Linked DNA regions of Arabidopsis thaliana. The protein of the gene in region 2 purifies or fractionates together with the protein of the main gene of each other region. This does not show direct contact. Each region holds a gene or a part of one and is shown on either strand. Other genes may lie near its edges.

Region 1 (4,766 bases), on a different chromosome or scaffold from region 2:
GAAGGTGATGGCGATGAGGAGAGTGGAGAGGAGTAAAACGACGACGTGTTGTACTGATATCGCCATTGGAGACGAAGATCATTAGAGATCAGTGTTACGAGACGCGTTTCAGGTAAGAGGAAGAGGAAAGTGTGAGCTGAGCTGAGCTCCAAAAGTCGCAACTTTCACATTTCGATTTTGCAGAGAGAGCTTAAGTAATTTTTAATGCGCCGACAGATTAAAAAAGGATTTGTGTCCGAAAGAATTTTTCTTTTCTGATTAGTAGTATAAGACAAGATGTTTGATCTTGTAATAAATCATTTTAATTATGAATCAATTGCAAGTTAACCATTTATGTATCAGACAGAGGATTTTTAAGAATTTCATTTTTGGTAAATTTTCTCAATAGAAGATCGCAGTAGTAATTGATGAATATCTGCATCTTCGGAGACATCAGATCTGAATTAAATCTACACACCTATCATTGCCAGATCCAATCAACCTACTTTCCTGAGGTTTAAACTCAAAAGTATGATCATATTGAGCCAAAGTTTTCCTAAGATAATAATGAGTCATGTGGTGGAGCAACATATTCTTGAGCAGTAGTAACATATGCAAAGAATCAAATCTTTTATAAAACCATGAATGTATGATTGATATGTAACCACCCCCTATGGGTAAAATAAAATGCCTCAGAGTCATCAAAAAGCACATAAATCCTCTCGGAGGTTTTTCTACTGCCTTGTCAAAGCTTAAACCAAAATACTGGGACTGTTGAGATTGGGTAGATTTAATAGAAAGAAAAATCCGGCAATCTTACTCGATGATTCCGGCACCTGCATCGAGATCCACTTCGCCCATACCAGTGTCCTCTTCTTCGTCTCCGCTATCTTCATCGCCGCTCATTTCTTCATTGTCAAGACGTAGCTTAGCCATGTGTTCTGTCAGCATCTTTTCATCACGTTCACTCACCTATATTTGACATAGATTATAAACATTAATAGGCGGTTGTGAACCAAATTAAACAAAACACAAAAGAAAAGCTCGTTCTTGTGACATGCAACTCGAGACGGTTCATCACTTAAAAAAAACTAATTTAAGATACTCACAGCTCTAGCCCCCTCCTTAACGACAAGCTTGCCTTTGTGTGTCTCAATTGTCTCAGTGCATGCTGCTATGGCTTTGTTTAGAATTTCAATCCCTTGTTCCTGTTTAATATTTGAGAAATTGAGAAGATAAAATGGGACAAAACATAGCATTTACACATTTATGGTTTAAGTGAAGACAAATCCGCAGAGCTACATAATTGGCAAACAAAGTTGCAATGTCCAGTGTTTTCTTAAGCATTTACTTTCCTTGCAACTACAGTGTTTTCAAAATTCTGGCAAGTAGCTTTAGTGGATATACAATCTAAACAGAGATCATAAACCTCTTAAAGATAAGTAGGGGAGGATTTCTATAATATACCAATTACCAAACCAAGTAAATCATAGTGCAAGATAGAAGATTGCCTAACCTTGTCAAGTGTCTGAGTAGTAAGGACATACAGAGGTGGAGCAACCAATTTAATCTTAACAGGACAGTCTTCATTTCCAGCGGCTTCAGCATTTTTCATAGCCTCCTGAAATTACAAGCATGGGTGAGAAAATCAAATGAAATCATAATGTATTCATTTCACAAGTTAAAGATAATCTAATAAGAGATACGACCTTAATGTGAACAACTCCATCAAACTGAAAACACTTCAATTCGATATCAGCCCGGATTTTCATTGGTTGTGGTGTCATTCTCCTCCTAATGTTCTTCACAAGTGCATCTTTCACTTCTTCCGTAACAGCAGGTACAACCTTAGTCACCTACAAACAGAAAACTTGTAAGATTAGCACCAAATAAAGTTAGTACTAACCGCTAAAACAATGCCAGAGAACAAAGTATATACCTCTTGCCCATCAGGCCCAACTTCTTTGATCTCACGGGTGAGAGGACCCAACACTGAATCAGGATCCGTCACTAAGATCTTGAAAGCCTGAACAAAAGAAAATTATATATGAGAACTAAATAACCATAGAGATACACAATGAATCTCCAATTCACAAAATTCTTACCTCAAAAGCATGACCATGTCGTCGATACAAAGGCCAACCAATGTTCACATACAAGTCCTGCAACATGAAAGCTCAAATCAATTTCTATTCAACGATCACATCACTAAGCTATGATATTTGATAATATCTCTAACAAGCAAAATCCAAATCCAGTAGATAATCCCAGATTTGAACTACGATATTTTACCTCCAAATCAATTGAAAGAGTCTCAGCAACATGGCGCATGATAGAATGAACAAGTTTGCTCTTGTTATACCTCTCTTCACAAGTCTGAATATCTTCCTCGCTGACTCTACGTTTGCTCAGATCAATGTAACCTTTCTCTTTGTCAACACGGAGAACCATGACAGGCTCAATTCTTCCGACCTTAATCAAACTGCTAACACTTCGGATCCGACGACGAGAGAGCTCGGAGAAAAGGATCATGCCTTCGATGTTGTTGTACTCGAGGAGAGAAACATAAGCTCCCATATCGGCAATGTTCTTCACCTGGATCATCACCGCCATATCCACCTCTGGGTATTTCGCCTCGTACATCCGACACTCGAGATTCGGTGTTTGACTCGCCATGATTGGTAGATTTCGATACTGCTTGAGCTCACGCGAATTCACTCTTCGTTGAATCGGGTAAAGCTACGAGGCGGAGACACTTAGGGTTTTAGACTTTTTAGGCGACGGAGCAAATCAGACAGGTTTCTAGAGATAAGAAATGAGCAAGGAACACAAACGGAAAATGAGTCGACTTGCGTCAAAGATGCCAAGTTAAACGGCACCGTGTCAGTTAAACAATTAGGTTTTAATTGGGCCACAAGATAGTTTCAAGGGGTTAGGGGTTAAAAGCCTATTCGGGTTTCAGACATTTTCGGCCCAACTTCTTTCACAACGTAAGTTTGGATTGATTTCCTTTGCTTATTCATGAATTGCGTTTAAACCGGAGCAAACTAAACTAGAGCTCGAATCCACATTTGGCAGTCCAAAAACATTCTGACCGAACCGATGTAGAATCGATCACCAGGTGGGTTTGATGAACCTTATACCAGAATATAAAGTTATGTGATCATGTCTTTTGTCTCTTACAGAAAAAGAAGTCTACTACCTCACAAAATCGTAAAAGCTAAAGAACTAAACATAAAGTAGACACATATAGAAACACAGTAGACACAAGAGTCCCTCGAAGCTGCTTACCCTTCCAGAAGCATCTGATTGAAATGCCATGTTCCTGAAATTACCCACAAGCATTCAAAGACATATATTAAAACCAAGTTTGAGGCACGACGTAGGATGAATAAGTGGATTTTCTTGTTCTTTTATAAATTTATAGATTAGAACAAAATGTGAGAGATTATTTATGTACCGTGTCCTTTGCCAACTCGTCGCAGTTGAGCCACATATTCTGAGATCAACTTGATTGCTTCCACCTGAGAAATGTTTTATTTTATCAAAAATTCCTATTAGATTCTCTTTGATAGCTTATATACAACAGTAGCTCTTTGCCACTAACATAGAACACCAAATAAATTACCTGCTCTGTCAGAAACTCGCTCTCAATAAAATCTGCCAAGTGGACATCATTGTTCTTCGAAGCAACCTGTTGAAGCAAAGCATTACCAAACTGAGAACAGTTCTTGCCGAGTGAAGATTAGATTTACTTCTCAAATACGGATTTGACATATATAGTATGAACTCAAGAAGAGATGGTCTTTACACTGTGAAGGTTTAAGAGCTTCTCATTAACTAGTTTCTCCAGTGACAGAGCAAGCTCCATGCCTGCAACAACAAATCACAGAATTGTATGTTAAAATTCCTATATCCATTGAGACTTGAATCTCCATATGAGAGATACATTTTCATAATACTTAAGAACTCAGATAAAATTCAGTCTTTGCTAGTGAAAATATGCAATCTCTTCAAAAGCTTAACAAAATCATTGGTGTCAATATCTAATTTCTTAGAATGTGGCAGACATATGAAACTAAAGAAGTTTTTTCACTTGGGATTATTAGTGTTAGCATTTTTGAGCTTACCATAAAGAGCATCTCCTTTGTCAACATGTTCAAACTCTGAAAGAGGCATTACAATGGACTGTAACTTAACCCTCCCACCACGTTTGTTCTGCAATTCATGGAAAAAAACTAAAACATGTTAGAACCAAATTAGCTCCAATAAGGTAAACAAATGGAAATAACTTTCATAAGACCTGATACTCCATTAACTTCTCAGCATGCTCTCTTTCTTCCAAACTTGATTCCTTAAAGAACCTGATTCCATGAAACCAACAATTAACTATGGATAAACAAAAAAAATCCGAAAATATCAACACTCTTGAATAACCGGAGACTCACTTGGCAAGACCTTTGAGCGCGATGTTATCCCGATCAAAGTAAGCATACATAGCGTGATACACATACGAGACATTGTATTCCACACTGCAACCAAAATCCATTGAAGAATTTCAAATTCACAGGTTCATAAACAATAAGCAGAATCAACATGAGGTTCCAAGTTACCAAATCTTATAGCCAATCAACCAGATTATAATACCGAATCTAAGAGACTGGGGTGAGAAAGAATAACCTACTTGATCTGCTCGTTAATGGCGGCTTCGCACTCGTCTGAGTACTTTTGTCGAGCGAGTGAGAGATGAGAGCTGGTAGGGACGAGATCGAGCTCCTTTTTTACTT
Region 2 (3,805 bases):
CCGCAGAACAGAGCACAATTCTGAATCCAAGTTGGTCCTTCATTTTTCGTTGGTTTATGGATGAGAACAGATTCCTCTTCATTTGGTTGCATGTTTAGGTATATATTCATATCCACAGAGTCAATAAAACATGGACTTGATTATTTAAATAAAAAACATTAACTTACAAGGCAAGGGAAGCGGTCCTAGGTTTCAGCCCAAAAGCAAAGAGATGAAACTTGAAGCACATGTTGGAGAGATATTAATCAGAGGACTGGAATGTGAGACAACTCCAAAGTAACGTGTCACTGCCAAGCTAAGATTCGAAGCCAACCCCCACTAGAGTTAGCTGACATGTCATATTCAATTTTTCTTGCGCAAGCTTCGGACCAACCCATCTTTAAAGTCATTTCACAAATGCACAATGTGATCTAAAGCAAATCCTCTTTACCGTGACAGGAACTAGGGAACTTATGTTTTTGCATTACGTGCATATAAAATGACACGTTACTCTTAGCAAATTTGCATCATTTGCGTTTTGTCTCAGTAACTGATCATTAAAGAACTTCCATTAGGCATACACTAGCTAAAGACATCTCACAAACGGTTTCGAGAGTTTTAGTTCAGCCCTACAACATCTCTCAGGACGCGGGAACTTCTTTTTTAGAGTTGTAGAGAAAACGTCTTCTGATACAACTGACTAACAAAGTCAGAAGAAATCACTATAAATCTTACAATGGAACCTTGCCCAGCACGTTGCTCTTGAATTTCCATATCTTCATGAGTTTCTTCACAGTAGATTTGGTATATCGACTGGTGCTACTAAACCACACTGCACAAGAACAGACTCAAATGAGACCAATTTATCCTCATCTTTCCCCTGACCTGAACGCAGCAATCAGATGGTTGCAGAGATTATTCTACTTACCGTCTCACATCTGAGATTGAAAAGACCATTGCCCTCCTCCGCGAGAGCTGTGTCAGGACTTTTGCAGCAGACGCAGATTACGAACGCATCTAAGACACAATGATTTTACATATCAGACAAGACACCCACCACTAGAAAAACAAAAAAAAAATCAACACCGGAGACTAGTTATGGAATTCACCAATGTATTTCCGGAACACAGCTTGAAAATCCTTAGAAGACACTAAACCCTTAATCTCTAGCCGCTGCTGTTTGTTCAGCGATACTTTTGTCTCCATTTGGGCAAGTAAGAATTTCATGACATGATCTGGCTTCCTATGCATCCTGAAAAATGTATATTTAAAAGTGATAAATGGCTCAATAACTACAAGTAGTTAAAGGGAAGATGAGTTAGAATTCGTACGTTCTGCAGAGATCAGCAAAGTTTAAACAAACAGTTATCGTCCCTTCTGCAAGGAGCTGAGGAGGCATCATCACTGTTCTTGGCCTCTCTGTAGAAACCTCGACATCTTCCTCACGAAGCCTATCAAACACCATACTCAAGAGCTGCAGAGCATAGAAAAGCTCGGATCACAAATGAGAACCAGTAGCATAACTAAAGAACTCTAATTTTAGCGAAAAGTACCTCTTTGTAGCCATAATCTGGCTCAAATTTCCGGCTAGATTGACAGTCCGGTAAGTTATCCTCTGTTACGATAACATCAATAAAGGACAGTAGCTTCAGACACAACATAGATTTGGGTACGATTAACTGATTATCTTCCAACGCAATTCTTTGAAAGCTAATTCATTACCCGTAAAGTGTCCTCCATTCTGGAAGAAGATGTCGTCTTCGCGTATCAGAGGCTTCTGCTTCTTCTTCTTCTTCTTCTTAGAAGGATCAAATTTACTGACCTACATCAGCATAAGCTTTAGCAAAACGGAACCCGAAGAAACGGTGATATAAGAGGTGGAGAAGCTGAAGCATACCCATGAAGAATCGTTATCTATAACCTCGAGTTCAAGTTTCCAACACGCCTGCTTTTGCTGTAAATCCATCGTCGCCGGCGGGTCGACAAGTTTCAGCGTTGATCGGAGGAAAATTAAAAACGAAACCAGGGACTGTGATTGGGCCTGTATTGGGCCTTCAGACATTGATGTTGGTATAACGAATTTTTTTTTTTTTTTTTTGATTCGAAGTTTGGTATTAACGATTTTTGAAAAGAATATATTACAGTGTAACTGGAAGATATCTAATTGGTTAAAAAGTAAGAAAGGTGGAGTCAAAGTATATGTATAGAGATTTGTACATAGATGCAATGGTTGGAGTCAGCGAGGAGCGATGCTGGGAACAAAGCCGCTGCTGAGATCGCTTCCTAGAAGGCTCGACGACTCGTAAAGGTCTCTTGTCACATTCGACGACGATGTTGACAGCACTGACGAAGATGACGCCAATTCCACTCTTGTCTCCCTATCGGGGGATGCTTGGAGCAGTGACTCCAGCTCCTTCACCACCTCCGCCATTCCTGGCCTCATCTCTGGTGAGTCGTGGCTACACCTCAGTGCCAAAGCCGCAAACTTTTCAACACTTTCCATCGACCACGGCTCCATTCTCTTGTCTATCAGCGATACCATCATATCCCTCTGCTCAGCCGTCTTCACCTCTCGTACTATATTTTTTCCATGGGATATGGCGTGCATACCAGTCAGCAGCTCCAAGAACACAACTCCGATGCTGTAAACATCGCTCTTGTCCGTCAGCTTGTGTGTCAGGAAATATTCAGGATCCAGGTACCCCTACAACATTCAATAAAACTAAGCAATGAATCTCTTGTGCCAATATATGTTTCACATCATTCATTTTGATGACTCACTGGAGTCCCACGGACAACGGTTGAGACGTGCTTAGGCACATCCTCTTCGTCCTCCAAAACAGGAGCAAGTCGAGACAGTCCAAAGTCTGCAACTTTGGCATTGAAGTTGGGGTCGAGGAGGATGTTACTGGCTTTGATGTCTCGGTGGAAAACTGGCGGGTTGGCTTCTGTGTGAAGGTAGAGAATACCTTTTGCTGCTCCCAACGCAACACGAATCCTCATCCCAAAGCTCAATGACTCCTTCCCCTTAGCTGCATCACCAAATATTCCATCAATTGAGAAAACTAAATGACACACATCCGAAAACGCCCCATGAATCATTGTGAATTACTACCAGACAACCAGTCGCGCAGGGTGCCATTTGACATAAATTCGTACACCAGCATCTGCAAATTCAGCAACTTCATAAGCAATTTTTATAGACATCCAACTGATAACACCTTACTCAGGCGGTTCTACTGGGTATCAAGAGAGTACCTGCTCGCTTTCTTCATCACAGTAACCGATCAGTGACACAAGATTCCGATGATGCAACCTCGAGAGCAGCTCTATTTCATTCAAGAACTCCTTTTCACCTTGCAAAGACCCTTCATCTGCTCGCTTTATTGCAGCAACAGTATTGTCAGATAAGACACCTCTGTAAACCTTTCCATAGCCTCCGCGCCCAACCAAAGTTGAGCTGCTAAAATCGTCGGTGGCCTCTGCTAGCTCTTTGAAACTAAAGCCTCTTATCCCAGAATTCAACAAGGAAGCCTTCGAGGCTGACAAATACAACCAGATTCAGTTAAAGTTGGTTGTAAATTTCAGTGGGATAAATTGGGAATGGAAGATTTGGTTACACTTACATGACCGTCTTCTAGATATCTCTCGCTCGTGCTTGCTGTATCTTCTAAGCAACAAGGCTGCAACCACAGCGGATATCGCAACAGCAGTCACCACAGCCCCTGCAGTTATTGCTGCCAATCGTCGCCAGCTGACGCCTTTCCTTTCACTGTTGAAGTTAACTGAGAGGAGATAAAGAAGACTTTCACTTAGCTCTTAGCAG
Region 3 (5,706 bases), on a different chromosome or scaffold from region 2:
GTGACTGTTTGACCGATGCCAGAAAAGTTTTTGATATTTTCGCTGCTGCTGATGTGGTTTTATTCAATGCAATGATTGAAGGTTACTCGAGACTTGGGACACAATGGGAACTACATGAAGCATTGAACATCTTTCGTGACATGAGGTTCAGATTGATTCGACCTAGCCTATTGACTTTTGTTAGCCTTCTACGTGCATCTGCTTCTTTAACAAGCTTGGGACTGAGTAAACAAATCCATGGATTGATGTTCAAATATGGGTTAAACTTAGATATATTTGCTGGAAGCGCTTTGATTGATGTTTACTCAAATTGCTACTGCCTCAAGGATTCCAGGCTTGTGTTTGATGAAATGAAAGTGAAAGATCTTGTTATCTGGAATTCTATGTTTGCAGGTTATGTTCAACAATCAGAGAACGAAGAAGCTCTCAACCTGTTTCTGGAATTACAGTTATCAAGAGAAAGACCTGACGAATTCACGTTTGCCAACATGGTTACAGCAGCTGGCAACCTAGCAAGTGTTCAATTGGGTCAAGAGTTCCATTGCCAGCTTCTGAAAAGAGGCTTGGAATGTAATCCGTATATTACAAATGCTCTACTAGATATGTACGCCAAATGTGGTAGTCCCGAAGACGCTCATAAGGCTTTTGATTCAGCAGCTTCAAGAGATGTAGTTTGTTGGAATTCTGTCATCTCATCTTATGCGAATCATGGAGAAGGCAAAAAGGCTCTTCAGATGCTTGAAAAAATGATGAGTGAGGGAATAGAGCCTAACTACATCACCTTTGTTGGAGTTCTATCAGCGTGTAGCCATGCTGGTCTTGTAGAAGATGGACTTAAGCAATTTGAGTTAATGCTTCGATTTGGAATTGAACCTGAAACTGAGCACTATGTTTGTATGGTATCTCTTTTAGGCCGTGCTGGTAGATTGAACAAAGCAAGGGAGTTAATTGAGAAAATGCCGACAAAACCAGCTGCTATAGTATGGAGGAGCTTGCTGAGTGGATGCGCAAAGGCCGGTAACGTCGAGTTAGCTGAACATGCTGCTGAAATGGCTATTTTGTCTGATCCCAAGGACAGTGGATCGTTTACTATGCTTTCTAATATTTACGCGTCCAAGGGTATGTGGACTGAAGCTAAGAAGGTGAGAGAAAGAATGAAGGTTGAAGGTGTGGTGAAAGAACCTGGACGTAGTTGGATTGGGATTAATAAGGAGGTTCATATATTTTTGTCTAAGGATAAATCTCACTGCAAGGCTAATCAAATTTATGAAGTGTTAGACGACTTACTTGTGCAGATCAGAGGAGTTAGTTAATAACTACCATACAAGAACTCATTTTCTATTGGAGTGATGGACTCTATTTGGTTAAAGACCAATGCAGCAGATGAAGCTTAAAAGCGAGCCAAAGAAGAAAGAATAAGCCATGGTTAATATCGAGAAGCTGAAGGGGTAGCTAGCTCAGGAGAGCAAAGATGTTGCTATTAAGTTTTGTAATCAAGGGAAAATCGATTCTGTTCCGTTCAAATCCGAAGGAAGACTCAAAAATTAACCCCGGTTCAGTTCTCAGTTTCTTCTCATCATCTCCTAAAACCGGGTTGAGAGAGAAGTTGTAATGGTGAATGCATGAATGGTATGTTGTACATGATTCATTTGAATTTAGTTAAACCGTTTTTGAAATCAACTAAAACCGAAAAACACCAATTCAAAACAAAACAAAACAAAAATTCAGAACAGGGTTTATTGTATATAACCAAACTAAATTCTCATTCTGTTGTAAATTTTATTAAACCGGAAAACCAAATCGGACATATATGGGCCTAAAATGTTGTTGGGTCAGGCCGAATTCTAGACAGTTCTGTTCTAGTTTTTTCTCCTTTGTCGTAATCAGGTGGACGAAACGAAAACCCTCGGGATTCCTCTGCTTCTGTCTCGTCCGTCGTCGTCAATTTCTCTGCATCAGAGATTCCGGTGTCCTTCTTCCTTTCACTCGCGTATAACCTCTTTTCCTTGACGTTGTCTCCGTGAGCTCTCTGTGCTTTGACTGCAACCATGTCGACTATTATGCAGAAGATCAAAGAAATTGAAGATGAGGTAATTATTCAATCCTCTCTGATTCTTCACCTCTTCTCTTCAATTTTGGATGCATAGAACTGTGAATCCGAAATATCTATTCTGAATCAAAGAAATGATTTTTCAATCTGGGTGACTCACAAGTACGAGGTTTTTTTTGTTTATGTGGCAGATGGCTAAAACACAGAAGAATAAAGCTACTTCTCATCATCTGGGTTTGTTAAAGGTACATTTTTTCTCCTCTTTAGGTCGTTTTTTGTAGCTTTGAGAGTGAGGTTGATTGGTTGAGGTGTTTTTGCTTATCAAATGCAAATTTGGTTGATTGGTTTATATCTGTTTTGATACTTGATAAAAGCTATCATGAAATCCCAACCAGTAAGCAAGCTCATTAAGAAATATTTTAACTTCTGGTTGAAATCGTTTATGTTTTATACGAACTCCCAAATCATTGAATAAGCACAAAGCTGAGATATTTTATTTACGGCATGATCTCTTGTGAAGTTCCTTGGATCAAACAACTACTAGGCAGGCATTATATATTATTCTGTATTGATTTTAGAATTTGGTACTTATTCCTGCACCATTAGCTTCTCGTCATATTTCACTGGTCCATTTTGCAGGCCAAGCTTGCTAAGCTTCGGAGGGACCTTCTTGCACCGCCTACCAAAGGTGGCGGTGGTGGTGCTGGAGAAGGTTTTGATGTGACTAAAAGTGGAGATTCTAGAGTTGGACTGGTCGGATTTCCTTCGGTTGGAAAATCTACGCTATTAAACAAGCTGACTGGGACATTTTCCGAGGTTTGTAGTTATCGTTACGAATATTGAACTTCCTTTCTCTTGTTGTAATTGGAATTTTGAAACCTACCACGTATCCATGGCATCCTATTTCTAGTTACTTTTTGACCAACTTCCTGTGCAATATCACTTATAAGGCAAGACTGTTCGGCGCTAGTCTTTTCCTGGATAGATGAACATAAATCTTGGAATTAGAACTGTATTTTGGCTGATACTCAATTTTCTGAAGGTACATACTGTGATACACAATGTTTTCTCAGGTTGCTTCTTATGAGTTCACGACTTTGACATGCATTCCTGGTGTTATCACATATCGTGGAGCTAAAATCCAGGTATGGTATCTACATCTATGCGTCTGTGTTAATCTGTTATTTGTGGGGGAAAAATGATAATTCTTGGATAGTGTTTCCTCTGTCTTGGTAATTGTTGAAACACAATGAAATCCTTGGCTACATATGCCATGTCCTAGCTTGTAATTATCTTTTCTCGAGTCTTACTTCTATATTAAACATGTATCTTGCTTGATCTTTTAATGACTTCTTGGTACTTAGTTTAAGTCAGGAAACGACCTGTAATTATTCATTGGACACTGATGCTAATACTCTTTTTTATGTCCCCTTCTATGTGTTTGCAGTTATTAGATCTTCCTGGTATTATTGAGGGTGCTAAAGATGGAAAAGGTAGAGGAAGACAGGTAAGTCGAGTCTAAATCTCTTGAGTATTTTATATTTTGACCCTCTTTGATCATCTTTCACACTTTACTATTTCCAGGTTATAAGTACGGCTAGGACATGCAACTGCATCTTAATAGTTCTTGATGCCATAAAACCAATTACTCACAAGCGTCTCATTGAAAAAGAGCTCGAAGGATTCGGAATAAGGTATAGATTGTTTATATAACAACCTTTATACACTGTATATTTGATCGTTTCTGGTAGATAGTCTGACTCGATCATGGACTGTTGCTATGTAGGTTGAACAAGGAGCCACCAAATTTAACATTTAGGAAAAAAGACAAAGGTGGTATCAATCTAACTTCTACAGTCGCTGTCACACACCTTGACCTTGACACCGTCAAGGCGATTTGCGGTGAGTACAGGATGCACAATGCTGACATCACCCTGCGCTACGATGCAACCGCTGATGACCTCATTGATGTCATCGAGGGCAGTCGGATTTATATGCCCTGTATCTATGCTGTCAACAAGATCGATTCAATCACACTTGAGGAACTTGAAATTTTGGACAAACTTCCTCATTACTGTCCTGTCAGGTAAATGTTGTTAAATTACCGGCAGGATTTGCGATAAACTTGTTTACTTTTGCCATTAAGATATAAATTTATTTATCTTGCAGTGCGCATCTGGAGTGGAATCTTGATGGACTTCTGGACAAGATATGGGAATACTTGGATCTAACTCGAATCTACACAAAACCAAAGGCAATGAATCCGGATTATGATGATCCCGTAATCTTATCATCCAAGAAGAGAACAGTAGAGGACTTCTGCATCCGGATTCACAAAGACATGCTTAAACAATTCAAGTAGTAAGTAATTAAAATCCTTAACATTTTTCTTTTCTCTGTTATATGGTTCTTGCTCAAAAGCATCGCTCATGAATACTTAACTAATGATCTCCTGATACAGCGCTCTGGTTTGGGGTTCAAGTGCCAAACACAAGCCACAAAGAGTTGGAAAGGTTAGTTCTTCTAGCAAATCAAACAAAAGTTAATCTGGTAAATCGATATTGCAATATCCCTGACTAACTAACTATTGCTGTCTCGACATCGTATTTTATACTTCAGGAACACGAGCTTGAGGACGAGGATGTTGTTCAGATCGTTAAAAAGATATGATTTTTGCAGATAATGGAGAGCAGTCAAGAGACCAACCAAAGTAGCCATAATGAGATCTCCTATAGGAAGGTCAGGATTTCTTTTGGTTTCTCAGCTTTATCTTTCTTTTGTAATTGTATTATTATATCCAGACGAAATCTGTGTCTACACCCTTTTTTATGTCTTATTAGATACTTTTGTCTTCTTCCAATAATACTATTAAGCATGTGATTGATGTTGTCGGAACACCTCCTATTATCTCCAGTATGGGTTTGCCTAGATTTTCTCCTCCCTTGTTTTTATGTATGCAACTAGACTTTTTTGGATTTTATTTACTAAACATATGATTCAGTTTTTCTTCATGTAATAAAGAAAAACTGTTAAAACGGCCTTCATTGCACTGACCAGGTCGAGGTGTTATTATTTCTGACAGTTAGTTGTTACTTGGACTGTTGATTAAATTTAATGACATTAATAGATTTGGAAAACTATTACAACGACCTTCGTTGCAGTGTCTGGGACCGTGAATTCTGATGCACTTCTCGATTTGTCTATCCTCTTAAAGTTGGTTTGTCATTTAGTGTCTGAAATTGTAAGATTATGGACCCTTCTTTACAAGTCCTCCACCAATTCTGTCTCATCCATTTGTGTGGTTAGTAGCTTCACCAGCTTAACACTTTCACTAATCTTAATTCTTAAGATATGAAAAGCAGTTGAATGAATGCATTGGTAATTTCTTTCTTTTTTAATAAATTTTCTTTTTGTTGGTTGCTAATTTATATATGTAATAATCTTACTCTATATAAACAAGTTCCTTCAACACACAAAAGGAACCACCACCATATTGTGTCTGTAAACCAAGCTCCTAACTCTCTCATATGGCTTCTGTAAGCTTACTTGACGTTGCCATAGCCATCATTTGCCTTTTCTTCTTCTATTACATGTACTTCAAGAAACCTCATGGTCAGGTTTTTCGAAACTGGCCAGTTATTGGGATGCTTCCAGGC
Region 4 (4,353 bases), on a different chromosome or scaffold from region 2:
TTAATTTGCTTATATTGAAAAAAAAAGAATTTACACGGTTGGATTTCAATGTGACGTCATAAAAATGCCACTCTTTAGATCTTTGATTCTTTTTCTTTTTTTATTGTTTGACATTTATGAAAGCGACTGATAAATGTTTATTTTGTAAAAGTTCTAATTTAGAATAATTTTGATTATTAATAATATTAAACTACTAAGATTTGTATAGTTTAATACCATTATCTTCTGTAACTAAGATTTGTAGATCTTTTGTTTCTGTAAGATCAAATTTACAATTTAAAGTGTACAAAATCTTACAATACTAATGATGGCATAAAGAGATTAACAATGAGATTTTTTAACGTTATTGTTATATCAAGAAAACCAGAGAAAATTAATTAGTAATTGATTGATACATTGTAAGAATAGGATCTAATGATATTTTAATATTCAAAAAGGTTCCATTATAGAGGTTACATCTGGTGAATATGATTGAATACAATTTGATATAGAGAATTAGAGATACTTGCATTATTATTTGCTTCCTATTATTATTTGACTGCATTATTGGTTTCTTTTTCTATGTAAAAAATATTTTCAACTCTCCAACAAAGAAACAAAATTCTCTGACATTTTGCTTAGAAAGAGTGGCGTTTTCGTCATTAAACAAAGGAATAGTTTTGGTGGTAACGTAAATTGTAAAAAAACAGCGAAGGAGACAATAGAAAATGAGAGCAGACATTGAAGTTAGTGGATTTTCCACAGAATGGGGCCTACAATGTTATTGCCCACTCAGAGAAATAGGGTCACTGAAAGTGATAGCTACTTCCCATTGCTGGGATCGTTGTGTACTTTTTCTAACCTAAATTTCCCTCAATGCCTTTTTCTTAACTTATAGAATTGGTCGAAACTTGAAAGTATATACAAATGCCACAGAAAAAAACATCATTTAATACCTTCTTAATTGCACGATATGATATCAGATGTTTTGTAACCAAGAATTGGTCCATGTAAACAATTTATTATGTGGCAGAGGAAGACTCAAATTCAGGTGGCTGATAAAAAGTGGGGTTTAAGATATTTCTTGAACTGGAAGACAATGAGCGTGTGTTCTCATTAGTATTACAAATCATATTTACATTATTATAAAGCGGAACATATTTACATTATACTCCAAATGATGTAACTATAAAATTTGATCTAACAATATATATCGTTAAGAAAAATAACCTAAATTTATCACAGCTTATTCATTTACACTCCTATAGAATCATAGATTTCCTACTCTTTTTTTTTTGTCATCATATAAACATATACTACTTTTTGTTCAAGGATCAATGTTTCTTAGTTTGGTGAAAGATAGAAGTAAACTGGAGTGGGCCAATGGTTAGGCGTGTAAGCCCAAACTTTGGAACGATTTTAGCCCATCTCAAAAGGAGCGTGCTATATTTTGTAAATGAAATTGCAAAATTACCTAACACAAATTTTCCTATAAAAAAACATTTCGGGTAAGAAACCGACAATTATAAAATAAAAATTGTAAGACATGTTTTATTGACACATGGAAAAATGAAGTTGGCGAAAAAGACAAACAGTAAACGTTAAGATAAAACCCTACCTATAAATATACCTTACACGCCACCTGACTTTATCAAAACCAAAAACACAAACCTTCAACGGCACGCTTTCTCCTCTGAAATCTCTGCGAGCAAACTTCTTCATCTACCTCTTACCGTACTTCAGGTTTGTGTAAATCATTTTTATAAGAACTTCAGTGAAATAGATTAGCAACCCTAATTGAATTTAATCGAATCGTAACTATTGTGAACGGAACCCATCCATCTTGCATAAAAACCCTAGTTTCTGAACAGCCTTTCGAAACTTCTAGTGTTATTGTATTGGCTCTGATCAACGTTGTTCTAAAGTTGTGAACTTTGATTGATTGCAACAGAGTGTTTAAGATGAAATCTGTCGTAATGTCGAAGAACAAGGGCTTAGCTGAACAAGATCTAAGTAAACTTGATGTAGCTCAGCTGCATCCTCTCTCTCCTGAGGTCATCTCTCGTCAAGCCACCATTAACATAGGTATACACAAGTTTTTGTTTCATTGAGTTTTGATGCTGAAGAAACTGATCAGCCGTGCATTGAAAGCTAAAGATATGACTATGCTCTCTATATCTCAGGAACCATTGGCCATGTCGCTCACGGGAAATCGACAATCGTGAAAGCCGTTTCCGGTGTGCACACTGTCAAATTCAAGAGTGAATTGGAGCGTAACATTACCATTAAACTTGGTTACGCAAACGCAAAGATTTACAAATGTGAAAAATGCCCTAGACCAGTAGCCTACAAGTGAATTCTTGCTCTTCTTTTGCTACAATAAGGTTACGTAGTGTACGTAGCAACTTATGATATGTGTTAATTATAGGTCTTTCGGGAGTGGCAAAGAAGACAACCCAAGTTGTGATGTCTCTGGACATGAGAAGTACAAGATGAAACTACTAAGACATGTCTCATTTGTTGATTGCCCGGTATAAAATGAGTTTTAACACTATTTCTAAATCTTTTGTAACCATTTTCTATATGTTAATGAGGTGTTTTGTGTGTTGATTAGGGACACGATATCCTAATGGCGACAATGCTGAATGGAGCAGCGATTATGGATGGTGCTTTACTAATCATTGCTGCGAATGAGACATGTCCACAACCACAAACAGCTGAACATCTTGCTTCTGTTGATATGATGCATCTTAAAGATATCATAATCATTCAGAACAAGATTGATCTCATCCAAGAAAACGAGGCTATTAAACAGCACGAGGACATCCAGAGATTTATAACGGTTTGATTCAATTTTCCCATTCTGTTTTTTTTTTGCATTTTTCACTTCTTGATTAGTTGGTTAAGTTTTAAACTTGTTATTACAGAACACGAATGCGGAAGGTGCTCCTATAGTTCCTGTCTCAGCGCAACTGAAATACAACATCGATGTTTTGTGTGAGTACATTGTCAAGAAGATTCCACTCCCTGTGAGGGATTTTGTGTCACCTCCAAGAATGATTGTGATTCGTTCTTTTGATGTCAATAAACCTGGCTCTGATTATGATGGTATGAAAGGTGGAGTTGCAGGTGGGAGTATCCTTCAGGTAAAACATACTCAATACCCCGAAAAACTAGGATAAATCGCGGTTGAATCAATGTAACTTATGTCTCTCTTTGCTTTGTTTGCAGGGTGTTTTGAAGGTGGGGCATATAATAGAGATAAGACCTGGAATCACTAGAAAAGATGAGAATGGAGACACTAAATGCACTCCCATTTACACGCGTATAACTTCATTGTACGCGGAACAGAACGAGCTTCAGTTTGCTGTCCCGGGAGGTTTGATTGGAATTGGGACAAGCATGGATCCTACGCTTACGCGTGGTGATAGGTTAGTTGGTCAAGTCCTTGGTGAAATAGGTACTCTCCCTGATGTCTATGTTGAACTTGAAGTGAGTTTCCAGCTTCTGACACGTCTCATTGGAGTGAAGACAAAGGAAACAGAGAGGCAAATGAGAGTGTCAAAGCTAGTCAAGGGAGAGATACTGATGTTGAATATCGGATCGATGTCTACGGGAGCTATGGTTATTGGAGTAAAGAAAGATATGGTGAAAGTTAATCTGACACTCCCTGTGTGCACCAGCATTGGAGAGAAAGTGGCTATAAGTCGCCGTGTGGATAGGCATTGGCGTTTGATCGGTCGCGGTCAGATTGAGGCTGGAACCACCATTTTTATCCCTTCTCCTCCTTCTTTGGCATGATTATATTTGATGCATTCACATATACCAAACTTGTAGTCTCATTATATCTTCAGAGTATTCCTAATCTGTCACCAAAGGAGATAACTAAACTTCTATGTGCTTATGCTTTTTGTGTGAAGTCTAACTAGAGTTTGATCAATTGCATCATCTTGATTTGTTATTAAAAGTTTTATAGTCTATGGATGTTACAGCTTAATTAACTAATTATCCTACATAGTTCATTTGAGAGAAAGATATAATTTGTGATTGTTGAAACTTGAAACTTGAAGTCTTGAAGAAACAGAAAGAAAGACTTGAAGTCATGGTCTCATTCCTAACGCCCAAAACAACAAAGATTAATAATGTGCAAAAGATGTATTGGGCCTAAAAGGCCTGGCCCATTAGCTGGATTCCGTAAGAAAAAAAAAAAAAGTGAAAAGGAAAAGAAGAAATCGTCGTTGTTGTGGAGAAGGAGAAGAAGGATAAGGATGATAACGGTAAGCGAAGTTTCCTCTTACTCTTCTTCTTCTTCAAACTTCGCGTCTCTGTCTCGTCTCAATCACAAATCATCTTCGAGATTGCGAAGCTCTTCTC

Evidence for each region.
Region 1: the proteins of AT5G01940 (region 2) and AT2G40290 fractionate together in Arabidopsis thaliana (co-fractionation; one large-scale study listed by BioGRID). This does not show direct contact.
Region 3: the proteins of AT5G01940 (region 2) and AT4G39520 fractionate together in Arabidopsis thaliana (co-fractionation; one large-scale study listed by BioGRID). This does not show direct contact.
Region 4: the proteins of AT5G01940 (region 2) and AT2G18720 fractionate together in Arabidopsis thaliana (co-fractionation; one large-scale study listed by BioGRID). This does not show direct contact.

Annotation. Positions count from the first base shown.
Region 1 is NC_003071.7:16,828,235-16,833,000, forward strand, and holds AT2G40290 (Eukaryotic translation initiation factor 2 subunit 1), read right to left. Parts: upstream 2,993-4,766; 5' UTR 2,656-2,992; coding exon 2,272-2,655; intron 2,142-2,271; coding exon 2,085-2,141; intron 2,006-2,084; coding exon 1,919-2,005; intron 1,836-1,918; coding exon 1,689-1,835; coding exon of another isoform or gene 1,638-1,688; exon of another isoform or gene 1,601-1,637; coding exon 1,496-1,600; intron 1,188-1,495; coding exon 1,089-1,187; exon of another isoform or gene 1,085-1,088; intron 952-1,084; coding exon 796-951; 3' UTR 532-795; downstream 1-531. Other genes in the region: AT2G40280 (S-adenosyl-L-methionine-dependent methyltransferases superfamily protein), read right to left, coding at 1-66; FER4 (ferritin 4), read right to left, coding at 3,267-3,304, 3,440-3,503, 3,608-3,673, 3,791-3,852, 4,110-4,197, 4,283-4,343, 4,428-4,511, 4,664-4,766. UniProt on the Arabidopsis thaliana protein: Functions in the early steps of protein synthesis by forming a ternary complex with GTP and initiator tRNA. This complex binds to a 40S ribosomal subunit, followed by mRNA binding to form a 43S pre-initiation complex.
Region 2 is NC_003076.8:362,825-366,629, forward strand, and holds AT5G01940 (eukaryotic translation initiation factor 2B family protein / eIF-2B family protein), read right to left. Parts: upstream 2,068-3,805; 5' UTR 2,042-2,067; coding exon 1,877-2,041; intron 1,802-1,876; coding exon 1,702-1,801; intron 1,595-1,701; coding exon 1,533-1,594; intron 1,454-1,532; coding exon 1,311-1,453; intron 1,232-1,310; coding exon 1,089-1,231; intron 997-1,088; coding exon 908-996; intron 860-907; coding exon of another isoform or gene 812-859; coding exon 770-811; 3' UTR 519-769; downstream 1-518. Other genes in the region: MAN6 (Glycosyl hydrolase superfamily protein), read right to left, coding at 1-43; AT5G01950 (Leucine-rich repeat protein kinase family protein), read right to left, coding at 2,216-2,683, 2,761-3,011, 3,095-3,161, 3,238-3,521, 3,606-3,764.
Region 3 is NC_003075.7:18,370,343-18,376,048, reverse strand, and holds AT4G39520 (GTP-binding protein-like protein), read left to right. Parts: upstream 1-1,809; 5' UTR 1,810-2,048; coding exon 2,049-2,090; intron 2,091-2,241; coding exon 2,242-2,295; intron 2,296-2,689; coding exon 2,690-2,866; intron 2,867-3,123; coding exon 3,124-3,195; intron 3,196-3,497; coding exon 3,498-3,557; intron 3,558-3,634; coding exon 3,635-3,744; intron 3,745-3,836; coding exon 3,837-4,136; intron 4,137-4,219; coding exon 4,220-4,411; intron 4,412-4,511; coding exon 4,512-4,563; intron 4,564-4,669; coding exon 4,670-4,720; 3' UTR 4,721-5,184; downstream 5,185-5,706. Other genes in the region: AT4G39530 (Tetratricopeptide repeat (TPR)-like superfamily protein), read left to right, coding at 1-1,313; CYP96A12 (cytochrome P450, family 96, subfamily A, polypeptide 12), read left to right, coding at 5,578-5,706. UniProt on the Arabidopsis thaliana protein: Binds GDP and GTP, and has low GTPase activity in vitro.
Region 4 is NC_003071.7:8,114,347-8,118,699, reverse strand, and holds AT2G18720 (Translation elongation factor EF1A/initiation factor IF2gamma family protein), read left to right. Parts: upstream 1-1,701; 5' UTR 1,702-1,722; intron 1,723-1,888; exon of another isoform or gene 1,889-1,930; 5' UTR 1,931-1,940; coding exon 1,941-2,064; intron 2,065-2,162; coding exon 2,163-2,331; intron 2,332-2,361; exon of another isoform or gene 2,362-2,387; coding exon of another isoform or gene 2,388-2,407; coding exon 2,408-2,510; intron 2,511-2,593; coding exon 2,594-2,821; intron 2,822-2,906; coding exon 2,907-3,125; intron 3,126-3,210; coding exon 3,211-3,780; 3' UTR 3,781-3,845; downstream 3,846-4,353. Other genes in the region: AT2G18721 (uncharacterized protein), read right to left, coding at 1,594-1,701; SCY1 (SECY homolog 1), read left to right, coding at 4,248-4,353.